2 linked regions of the Arabidopsis thaliana genome follow. The protein of the gene in region 1 interacts with the protein of each later gene in a biochemical or structural test. Each region holds a gene or a part of one and is shown on either strand. Other genes may lie near its edges.

The links.
Region 2: the proteins of WRKY17 (region 1) and CAM5 form a complex in vitro, tested with the Arabidopsis thaliana proteins (one study listed by BioGRID).

What each region holds. Positions count from the first base shown.
Region 1 is NC_003071.7:10,436,744-10,441,395, reverse strand, and holds WRKY17 (WRKY DNA-binding protein 17), read left to right. Parts: upstream 1-1,926; 5' UTR 1,927-2,173; coding exon 2,174-2,832; intron 2,833-3,323; coding exon 3,324-3,452; intron 3,453-3,542; coding exon 3,543-3,720; 3' UTR 3,721-4,043; downstream 4,044-4,652.
Region 2 is NC_003071.7:11,529,758-11,534,877, forward strand, and holds CAM5 (calmodulin 5), read left to right. Parts: upstream 1-2,209; 5' UTR 2,210-2,311; coding exon 2,312-2,387; intron 2,388-2,929; coding exon 2,930-3,299; coding exon of another isoform or gene 3,300-3,303; exon of another isoform or gene 3,304-3,527; intron 3,528-4,319; coding exon 4,320-4,419; 3' UTR 4,420-4,601; downstream 4,602-5,120. Other genes in the region: PAG1 (20S proteasome alpha subunit G1), read right to left, coding at 214-287, 434-517, 827-866, 998-1,407. UniProt on the Arabidopsis thaliana protein: Calmodulin mediates the control of a large number of enzymes, ion channels and other proteins by Ca(2+). Among the enzymes to be stimulated by the calmodulin-Ca(2+) complex are a number of protein kinases and phosphatases.

The sequences.
Region 1 (4,652 bases):
CAATTATACATCTTGAGGTCTGTTTTTGCACACATAACACGTCATATATCATTGACAAAGAAAACACGTCGTAATTTTCTTTTTCTTTTTCTTTCATGTAGTCTTCTTGGCTTAAAAGAATTCAGCTAAGTAAGTATGGTTGATATTTTCTTCTACAAGTGATAAAACTTTGGAATTTTTGAATAAGTATAATTACAAGAAAACACTGCATATAACAACTACAAGAAAACACTGCATATACCAAAATTATCGAAACATGTATATTCCGACAAACTGAAATCACCGGAAAACGGTGGTGTATTGAAACAAAGAGTTGTTTTAACTGAAGTTTGAAAGTAAACAAAAGATTAAAAAGTAATTTATAGTAATGTTAATATTTACTCATGTTTCTGCTTTGGTGATTAGTAATAAATCTTCTAAAATCTATATGCCATTTTATAAATGCGATTAAAAATTTACCAATTAAACCTTATTTAGAAAAATGTAGAGAAAACTTCAAATTATCTCCTCAAGTAGGATTAGATCGAGCTGCAAATTGGCTCTTTTTATTCATTTAATTTCCTCCATTCCTAACTGTATTGGTATTGTTTACTTTATTTCTATAAGCAACAAAAAAAAAAGAATCTTGTGGACAGGTGACAATTTATGAGTCAGCCAGAATTGCCACGTGTCGGAAGATCAGTTGCCGTGGTAAAAGGTGTTTTTTAGATTCTCAAAAAAAAAGTAGTTAAAGAGAATAATATCAAAGAGTCAACTCCACAGTTCACAGATCCACCGTTGGATCTAACTTTTGGATTATCAACGGCCCAGATAATAGTTAACCGGAATCACTCGGTTACCGAGGTAGTCAATAGTTCTGTGTTTTAAAAAGAAATGCGTCCATGTGATCACTTTTATTTTATTTGTAGTCAGCTTTTGTTTTCCTACTTTGTCGTTTTTCTTTATCGCTGTTCTCAACTAAAGACTTGTAGACTATACTAATAAGATATAGTCAACGATTGTCGCTGTTATTATAGCCTTTAATCTCTATTAATGATTGTTAATTGTTCCACAATCTGTGTAGATTAATTAGGTAAAATTAAAAGTCAAGAAAAGATTGTTTTCAATTTACTAGTTTTCCAGTCAAGACGTTTTCTAGAAGGCTATGAGGTAAGAAAAAAAAAATATATATTAGGTGCAAAGTTAATATGGGAGTCAAATATTATTTTCAAATAATTATTATTGTCAATGCACTGCAAAATTAGTAATAATTCTAGAAAGAAATTGAAATAATAAAAATATGCTGCAAACACGAGTTTGGTATGTGTGCACCATATAATATTGACAAGTTGTAGTGTTGGTTGAAGCTAAAAATAACACAAAAACATAAAAAGAACATGAATAACGCCTAAAACTTAACACGAATAAAATAAAAAAACATAAAATATATTATCAAAAGTCAAAATCACAAAAGAAATTAATACCATTTTACAATTAGCTGAAAATTTATTCTATCAAAATCCAGTCCTATTAAAGAAAAATATGTGATTTGAGATGAAATTAATATTACATATTTTGATTTGGTTCAAGAATAAATTATGGATTTTGGTTAAAGACCTTCTAATATTCCAAAGAAACAAAAAAAAATCAGCCCAATTGTTCATACAAATAAAAACAATTCATTACCTTTAATTTTAAATTTATTGACTTGAACTTGAAGACATAAGATACCTAATAAAAGAAAAAATAGATATGAGACTTTAAAAAAGCTTTATGATTTTCTTTAGACACCATCCTTTAATGTTTTTTATTTGACTTTTTGTTTCTTTGAAATTCCTTTACCACCATTTTCCCCAAATTCAAGTTTACGCACAATGATTCCTTTATTTTAAAGACACGATTATAAATTCTTGCTTTGCACAAAAGAAGACCCTACATATCTCACAACTCAAGGAGACCAAACTTTGATTACTTTATTCCATAGAAATCTTCAACTCAATCTCAGCCGTTAGATCTAAAGCACCGATTTGACTAAACTCCATCTTAAACCTACTCAACCGGTCACTCGGTCACACCCATAACCCCATATATCACGCCAACGCCATTCTTTTTTCTTCCAGTTTCGCTCTCTCATTCATCAAAAAAAACTTGCACATCTTCTCAGATCTTCAAGTTTCTCCTCTGGTTTCTCATCATGACCGTTGATATTATGCGTTTACCTAAGATGGAAGATCAAACGGCTATACAAGAAGCTGCATCACAAGGCTTAAAAAGCATGGAACACTTGATTCGTGTCCTCTCTAACCGTCCCGAAGAACGTAACGTTGATTGCTCTGAGATCACTGATTTCACAGTTTCTAAGTTCAAGAAAGTTATCTCTCTTCTTAACCGTTCCGGTCACGCCCGGTTTAGACGTGGTCCGGTTCATTCCCCTCCTTCCTCCTCCGTTCCTCCACCGGTGAAAGTGACAACTCCGGCTCCCACTCAGATCTCTGCTCCAGCACCGGTTAGCTTCGTTCAGGCAAATCAACAAAGCGTGACGTTAGATTTCACTAGACCGAGCGTTTTTGGCGCTAAAACCAAGAGCTCGGAGGTTGTTGAGTTTGCTAAAGAGAGCTTTAGCGTATCTTCTAACTCTTCTTTCATGTCTTCTGCGATCACCGGTGATGGAAGTGTCTCTAAAGGCTCTTCGATCTTTCTTGCTCCGGCTCCAGCGGTGCCAGTGACTTCCTCCGGGAAACCGCCGCTTTCTGGTCTTCCTTACAGGAAGAGATGCTTTGAACATGACCACTCTGAAGGCTTTTCCGGCAAGATCTCTGGCTCCGGCAACGGCAAGTGCCATTGCAAGAAAAGGTATTGTTATTACTCCACAATAAATTAATCATTTGTTTGACTAGCCTAGTAGTAGTTAATTGTTTGGTTCGATACGGTCTAAACCAATCGCTCACGGACTCAGTGAAAATATATCACGAATTCAGATTTCAAAATTCTTTTTTTGCCTCGAATTTGTCAATCATGAACAAGTCTACTAGTTAAATTAACTAGTCTCAGTAAAAAATAAAGAATAAAAATCCGGGTTTAATACTTTGTAGACCGGTTTGGTACTATCTAAACCAATCGGTCAATGTATTTAGTGAAAGTCAACGACAGTAACTTAAACCAAAGTGCACGCCTGACAAGGACAAGTTAGTGGGTGCTGTCGTTTTGTATAGGGAAAGTTTTTACGTTTTAAAAGTCTTTGTCTGCCCGTTGACTTTTGCTAACCTGATGCATGTTCACGTTAGTCGTGTCAGCGCACGTTAAATCATTTCACTAATTACAATGTTTTATTATTTAATTAACAGCCGAAAAAATCGGATGAAGAGAACCGTGAGAGTACCGGCGGTAAGTGCAAAGATCGCCGATATACCACCAGACGAATATTCATGGAGAAAGTATGGACAAAAACCGATCAAAGGCTCACCACATCCACGGTAACTATCGTACACCATCGCTATCCACCGTTGATTTATTTGTGAAACATTGGAGATCTAACGGTTGTGATTTGTTTTTGTTGATTTCAGGGGTTATTACAAGTGTAGTACATTTAGAGGATGTCCAGCGAGGAAACACGTGGAAAGAGCTTTGGATGATTCAACGATGTTGATTGTGACGTACGAAGGAGAGCACCGTCATCACCAGTCCACGATGCAGGAGCATGTAACTCCTAGCGTGAGTGGTTTGGTGTTTGGTTCGGCTTGAAGAATTAATTAGTTTGGTAGTTTTGTAATATTTTGAGAAATAGAGGGGTTGGTTTTGTAATTTTTTTTCTATAACAAAATTAGTTTTAGATTTTTTTTTAGTAGTCTTTTGAATGGATTTTAATCTTACTACCGAGAAAGAAAAAATTCTTACTACATTTTCATAATTTCTTGTTTGATATATTTAGTGGTGTCATGTAAGAAAATGATGTTTAGCAAAGTAATTGGTATATAAATGTGTAGGCATATGTATTTAATGATATGGTTCGTAAAGTTACCATTACTCTGTTTGATCTAGTTATGATTTGTGATGGTTGATTTAGGGGAAAAATGTCATTTAATCCCCCAACTTTCAAAAAATGGCCATTTTATACATCAATTTCATATGTGGCCGTTTAAAACATGAACTAAACGTTGACTAATTTTTAAAACATGATCTTTCGTTGACCAGGCCAAAATAGACATGCCGTTATCAGTCATTAACGGAACTTCTAACGTCCGTTATCATTCGTTAACTTTATTAGTCAAGTTTCAAATTGTGGCCATTTTAAACATCAACTTCTTATGTGGCTATTTAAAACATGAATTAAACGTTGAATACCATTTAAAACATGAAAAATTCGTTGACCAGGCCAAAATAGACATGTCTTTATCAGTAGAACCTAGAAACCCGTTAATGACTGTTAATCTGTCCAAAATAACGTCGTTCAAGAATAATCGAAAGAACATAAAGATTTTTTCCATATGAAATCTCCATATCAAAAAGTTTTAAGCAGAACCCAAGAACATAGTTTGATAAAGAGATAATCGCAGTGCCAGTAATTGGAAGCAAATAAAGGTGTTTTCGTTTATATATTTGTTTTAAATTTTAAAAGGAATCATGGAAGCAAATTGAAGACTCATTATAAGATTGTTCGTCTTGTTTGAGCGGTT
Region 2 (5,120 bases), 1.1 Mb from region 1:
AAAGTTATGCAAAGCCATGTAGGAAGAAAGGAGAACATACACATTGACATCTTATACCCATATATTTAGATTTTTAATCTAACAAAATGCAGATAAAAAATATTTTGAACGTTTAACTAAGAGAAACATCCCCTTGAGAAAAGCTTTAGGAGTTGAACAGTTCTTTCATAATAATAAATCTTAGATATAAGCTACTGATGTTTTCATTGATACCTCTCATAGCTTCGTGCTTCAGACTTAGCACGCGCAACAATTTGCCTCCCATCAGCTGCAAGCCCAGCAACAGCCTGACATGACAGAAGTAGAAATACCCATAATCATGAAACAAAACAATATACTACGAGACTAGACACAATAGTAGTTACAAAAAACTTGAAAGATACATATCCTCAGCAGAAACTAATTTCCTATAGTTTAGGAGAAAAAAACATACCATGCCAGCATGACGATGAACAGAATGGATTCTCCTGTTGGAACCTGGTAGCATCATCTTTGATGCAATAAGTTTCTCAACTCCCTAAAAACCACCAAATGATAAACACTTAGCAAGACCATTCCTTTATCAAAAATCTGCGTAAAATCTTACAAAACCCAAAACTAACAACAGATTCACAACATATCGAACAGGAAATGAAACTAAGGGACTGTAAAATGTGTCATCTTGGGTCAAAATTTACACGGTATATATTACATCAAATCTACAATTCTGATAACAAAAATGTGAATACTTCATTCCAAGGTTAAATCACAGCACGAGAGACTAAACCCACTGAAGAAAGTGACAAAGTAGTATAAAAATCAATAGAGGAAGGAGGAAGAATCAAACCATAACAATCCCATCTTTGCACTTGATTCCAACAACAGTCCTGCGAAGAAAAAAAAAGGGAAAGACTTTTAACAAACCCTAATTCGTGTCGATAACCAAAATCTCAAAGTTTTCAGAAGCTAAATCCGATCTACTAAAGGGCGAAGATCGAAGAAGATAAAGCCAACTAACCCACTGTTGTCGACAGCTTTAGCGGCGTACTCGATCTGGAAAACACGGCCATCGGGAGAGAAAGTGGTGACGGAGAGATCGTACCCAGTTCCAATGCTACTCATCTTCCTTGATTTTTTTTTTCTCTGACTCTTTTCTGATTTCTTCTTCGTCGAGTGATTTAAGCTGAGATCGAAGAAAGGGGTTTTCTTTGTTCTCAAGCCAGAGACAAGCCAAATCTTTGGAGCTCCGTCTGACTCCGGGTTGGATATTAAAACGATTCGGGTTGTTTTGTCGGGTGGGTCGATTCGGTTATTAACGGGCTTTATTAATATTATGATTTGGCCCATTCTTTGGTAATCTTTTAACGGTATCGTGAATATTTTTAAGTGATTTTCCTCTTTTGTATAATTTTGAATAATCAACCACATGAGGAAGAAAGAAATATTTCTCTTACTCAACAAAATATATGATCATACAACACTTCTTTATGAACTCACTAGAGGTAAGACTATAATATGCTCTAGCATTGGGACACACAAACTTTGGGATGCTCAACATTACATGTTTTTAAAACCAAGACAGTAAATTACCTATAATTGTGATGGATACAATAAGTTTGTTTTTTACTACATCTCTAGCCAAACTGAGAGACATAGTTGTGGCGATCAAAAAAGTATGACAGTTTTGCGAAAACTGGATCTTGTTTAATATCAAATCTTTAAGTGAAGGTCATGATGCTTAACTACCCATTAGGTGACCCTTCCAACAACAAAGTAGTGATTTTTGTCCTAACTCCTAGATGATTATTAATTACAAAAACAGTAAATAAAAAGTACTACTATTTCTAAATTTTCTTATAATGCTAAAACTTTTTCTTTGGTTAACTTAATTAAAAAGTAGTTTAAAATCCATGGTAAACACAAAGCTAAACCTTTTTTACCGTTTTATATCACTAGTAATCCCATTCTACCAACTCGTTGAATACTTAGTATTGGTACGCATGGTAAGATCAGTAACTTATATGAACTAAACCATTCAAAGCATGTAAATGGTTGTCGGCAAAACAACAATACTATTTCTTTTCACAAGGGAATATATACATCACCTCCCTCTTAAGTAAAGCTAGTCGAATTGAAAACACAATAAGGCCCAGTGGAGAACAAAACAAAAGAAGAATAAAAAAGAGAATCAGATTCGAAATTATTGTTATTGGGCCTAATGGGCCTTTTCTTTTTCCTTCTTTATAATTCCACACAACAATCCTCTCATTACACACACCAACGTTGATTCTTCTTCTTCTTCTTCTTCTCTCTTTCTCATCTAAACCAAAAAATGGCAGATCAGCTCACCGATGATCAGATCTCTGAGTTCAAGGAAGCTTTTAGCCTTTTCGACAAAGACGGAGATGGTTCTTCTCTCTCAGATCTTTCCTCTTTTGTATAATTTTCATTCATAATAGACTCACTTGCGTTTTTTTTGGTGTTTTGAGTATCACTTAGTCTTGGCTTTAGGAATTTGATGCTCTTCGTTGTCCATAAAATCTCTGGATATTCACATTAACATTAAACGCGAGATTTGATGATATCTTTATCGTTCGTTGATTATAAATTATAATCGCAATCGGATCTATCTCGATAATAATCTCTAACTTAATCGTGTTTTAGTCTTCCAGATTTTACTAATTGTGATTAGAATTGACACAAATCTTAGAATTCAATAATCGAAGTAGATTACATTGACATTTGTAGATTTTTTGTTTAATTGATTCAGTTATTTGAGTAGGTTACAATGAAATTTGAAGATTTTGTGTTCATTTGATACAGTTGTTAGAGTAACTAAAATGAAATTTGAAGATTTTGTGTGTTATTAGAGTAAATTACAATGAAAATTTGAAGATTTGGTGTTAAAATCTGTTACTGATTTGAGAGAAATGTGTGGTTTTGTGTTTAGGTTGCATCACAACGAAAGAGCTAGGAACAGTGATGAGATCATTAGGTCAAAATCCAACAGAAGCAGAGTTACAAGATATGATAAACGAAGTAGATGCTGATGGTAACGGAACCATAGACTTCCCTGAGTTTCTGAACCTAATGGCTAGGAAGATGAAGGACACTGACTCTGAAGAAGAGCTCAAAGAAGCTTTCAGGGTTTTCGATAAGGACCAGAACGGTTTCATCTCGGCAGCTGAGTTAAGACATGTAATGACAAATCTTGGTGAGAAGTTAACTGATGAAGAAGTTGATGAGATGATCAAAGAAGCTGATGTTGATGGAGATGGTCAGATCAATTATGAAGAGTTTGTCAAAGTTATGATGGCAAAGTGAGGAAACTATTCTCATATCTTTTCTCTCTTTTTCTTTCTTTCTTTTTTTGAATTGAACAACTCTGATTATTGCTTTATTCTATGTTTGACTGTTCATTATTATGCATTCGTCCCAAATTTCATGTTATGAACTATTTTGTGACTTTGGGTTAAATTATTTGTTTGGAAGTTTTTAGTTTATTTTATATTATGTGAAGTACCATTGTAATGGTCGTTGAAAAAGCTATCTCTTGGTATTAGTACTTTTTTATTTTATTGTATTTTATAGTTTGCAATGTTTGTTAAAAAAAAAAAGGGTTATTTGTGTGATTAAAATTTGTAGGAAAAATGTCTGAAAACATTATATCGGTAGTTTTAAAAGCTTAGAATTTTTTATTTATTTTTAAATTGTTGGTCAATTTGGAAATTCCCCTATTTTTTAGAGGAATGTTGGCAATAATCCATATAATTTGAGTCAAATTAAAATATGTTTTTCTTATTTTACGGTTCATATAAGAAAATAAGTAAACTGTTAGAAAAAAGTATTATCATTTGTAACGATTAAAACAAGAGATAAAATTTAGGAAATACGAAAAAGGGTTAAAGAAAAACATAACTTCCATTTCATTTTTTCTTTCAAAAGTTTTCAAGCTTCAGTTCTCTTTTTCCCCACTTCAACTTTCAGCTTTGTAAATAACATTCGTGTTTTTCTTGATTCAATATATTCTACATTTTAACAAAAACATATAAAAAGTGGTGTATGCATACAGTAGTTATTCGTGAGGTAGAACGTAATTGTTTAAATTAAAAGGCAGATATGTTTTGGGGAATAAAATCAAAAATGGATGGTAAGTAGCAAAAGCTAGATAGATGAAATGAGAATCTCCAAACCTTTAATTATGACTGAACTTTTTTGTTGGTAACCAGTATTTTTTATTTTTACTTTTTTTTGTTACAAGGCTTAGTTTCTTCTTTTTCTTTTAAATATTATCGAAAATCTTGATACCTAATTATTTTAAAATGTGTGTAATTTATTAGGAGAAGAGGGAAGAGAGTTATGGCAGCAAAGCGTAGTAGCAATTCTGCTGAATACAAAGAAAAGAATGGTCGCCGGAAAAGTCACTGCCGTATTCTCTGAGCTCCGACCATTTGCTTCTTAATTCCTTTTCTTTATATGTTTGTGTGCAATAAGAGATTTGTACCTCTCACACCCATTAAACGGATTTTAAATGTCATATCTTGTTTGAATATGTTAAATATTTACTATACTGTTATATAAAAAGTTTTAAAGTACTATCAATATAGTAAGTTCATTTAGGCATTTCCTATCTACCACAATGTTTAATTTTCGTCTACAACATACGCACACTTATCAAACTTGAATCCAAGTATATAGCGACAACACTAAATCCGAGTTATGATACGACGGTGGCACTAGTACAGAAACACTATCACAATGTTTTTAAGATATTAGCAAGAGAAAACTCAGAAAAGATACACGACCAATATTAGGAGACTTTAACTAATACTCTGGCGATCTAACTGTTATAATTTATCAGTTGATTTAGGCGTTAGGCATTTGCTATCTATCAACAATGTGGGCGGGCATATGGTCTAATTCTTGTGAGATGATAATACAATTAAAACAAAGAAAATACTTTTTTAGGAACTAAACCTAAACTTAAAAGTCTTTCTAATCAGTTGCTATTTAAGTATTTTCATAATAAATCAAGAAATGCAAATTGTACATGAATTCGAAAAGCCTCTCGTTAAGAAAACTTATGATTAAGAATATAATATCCAAATACTAGTTTATAACACCAAATGCATTGAAACACT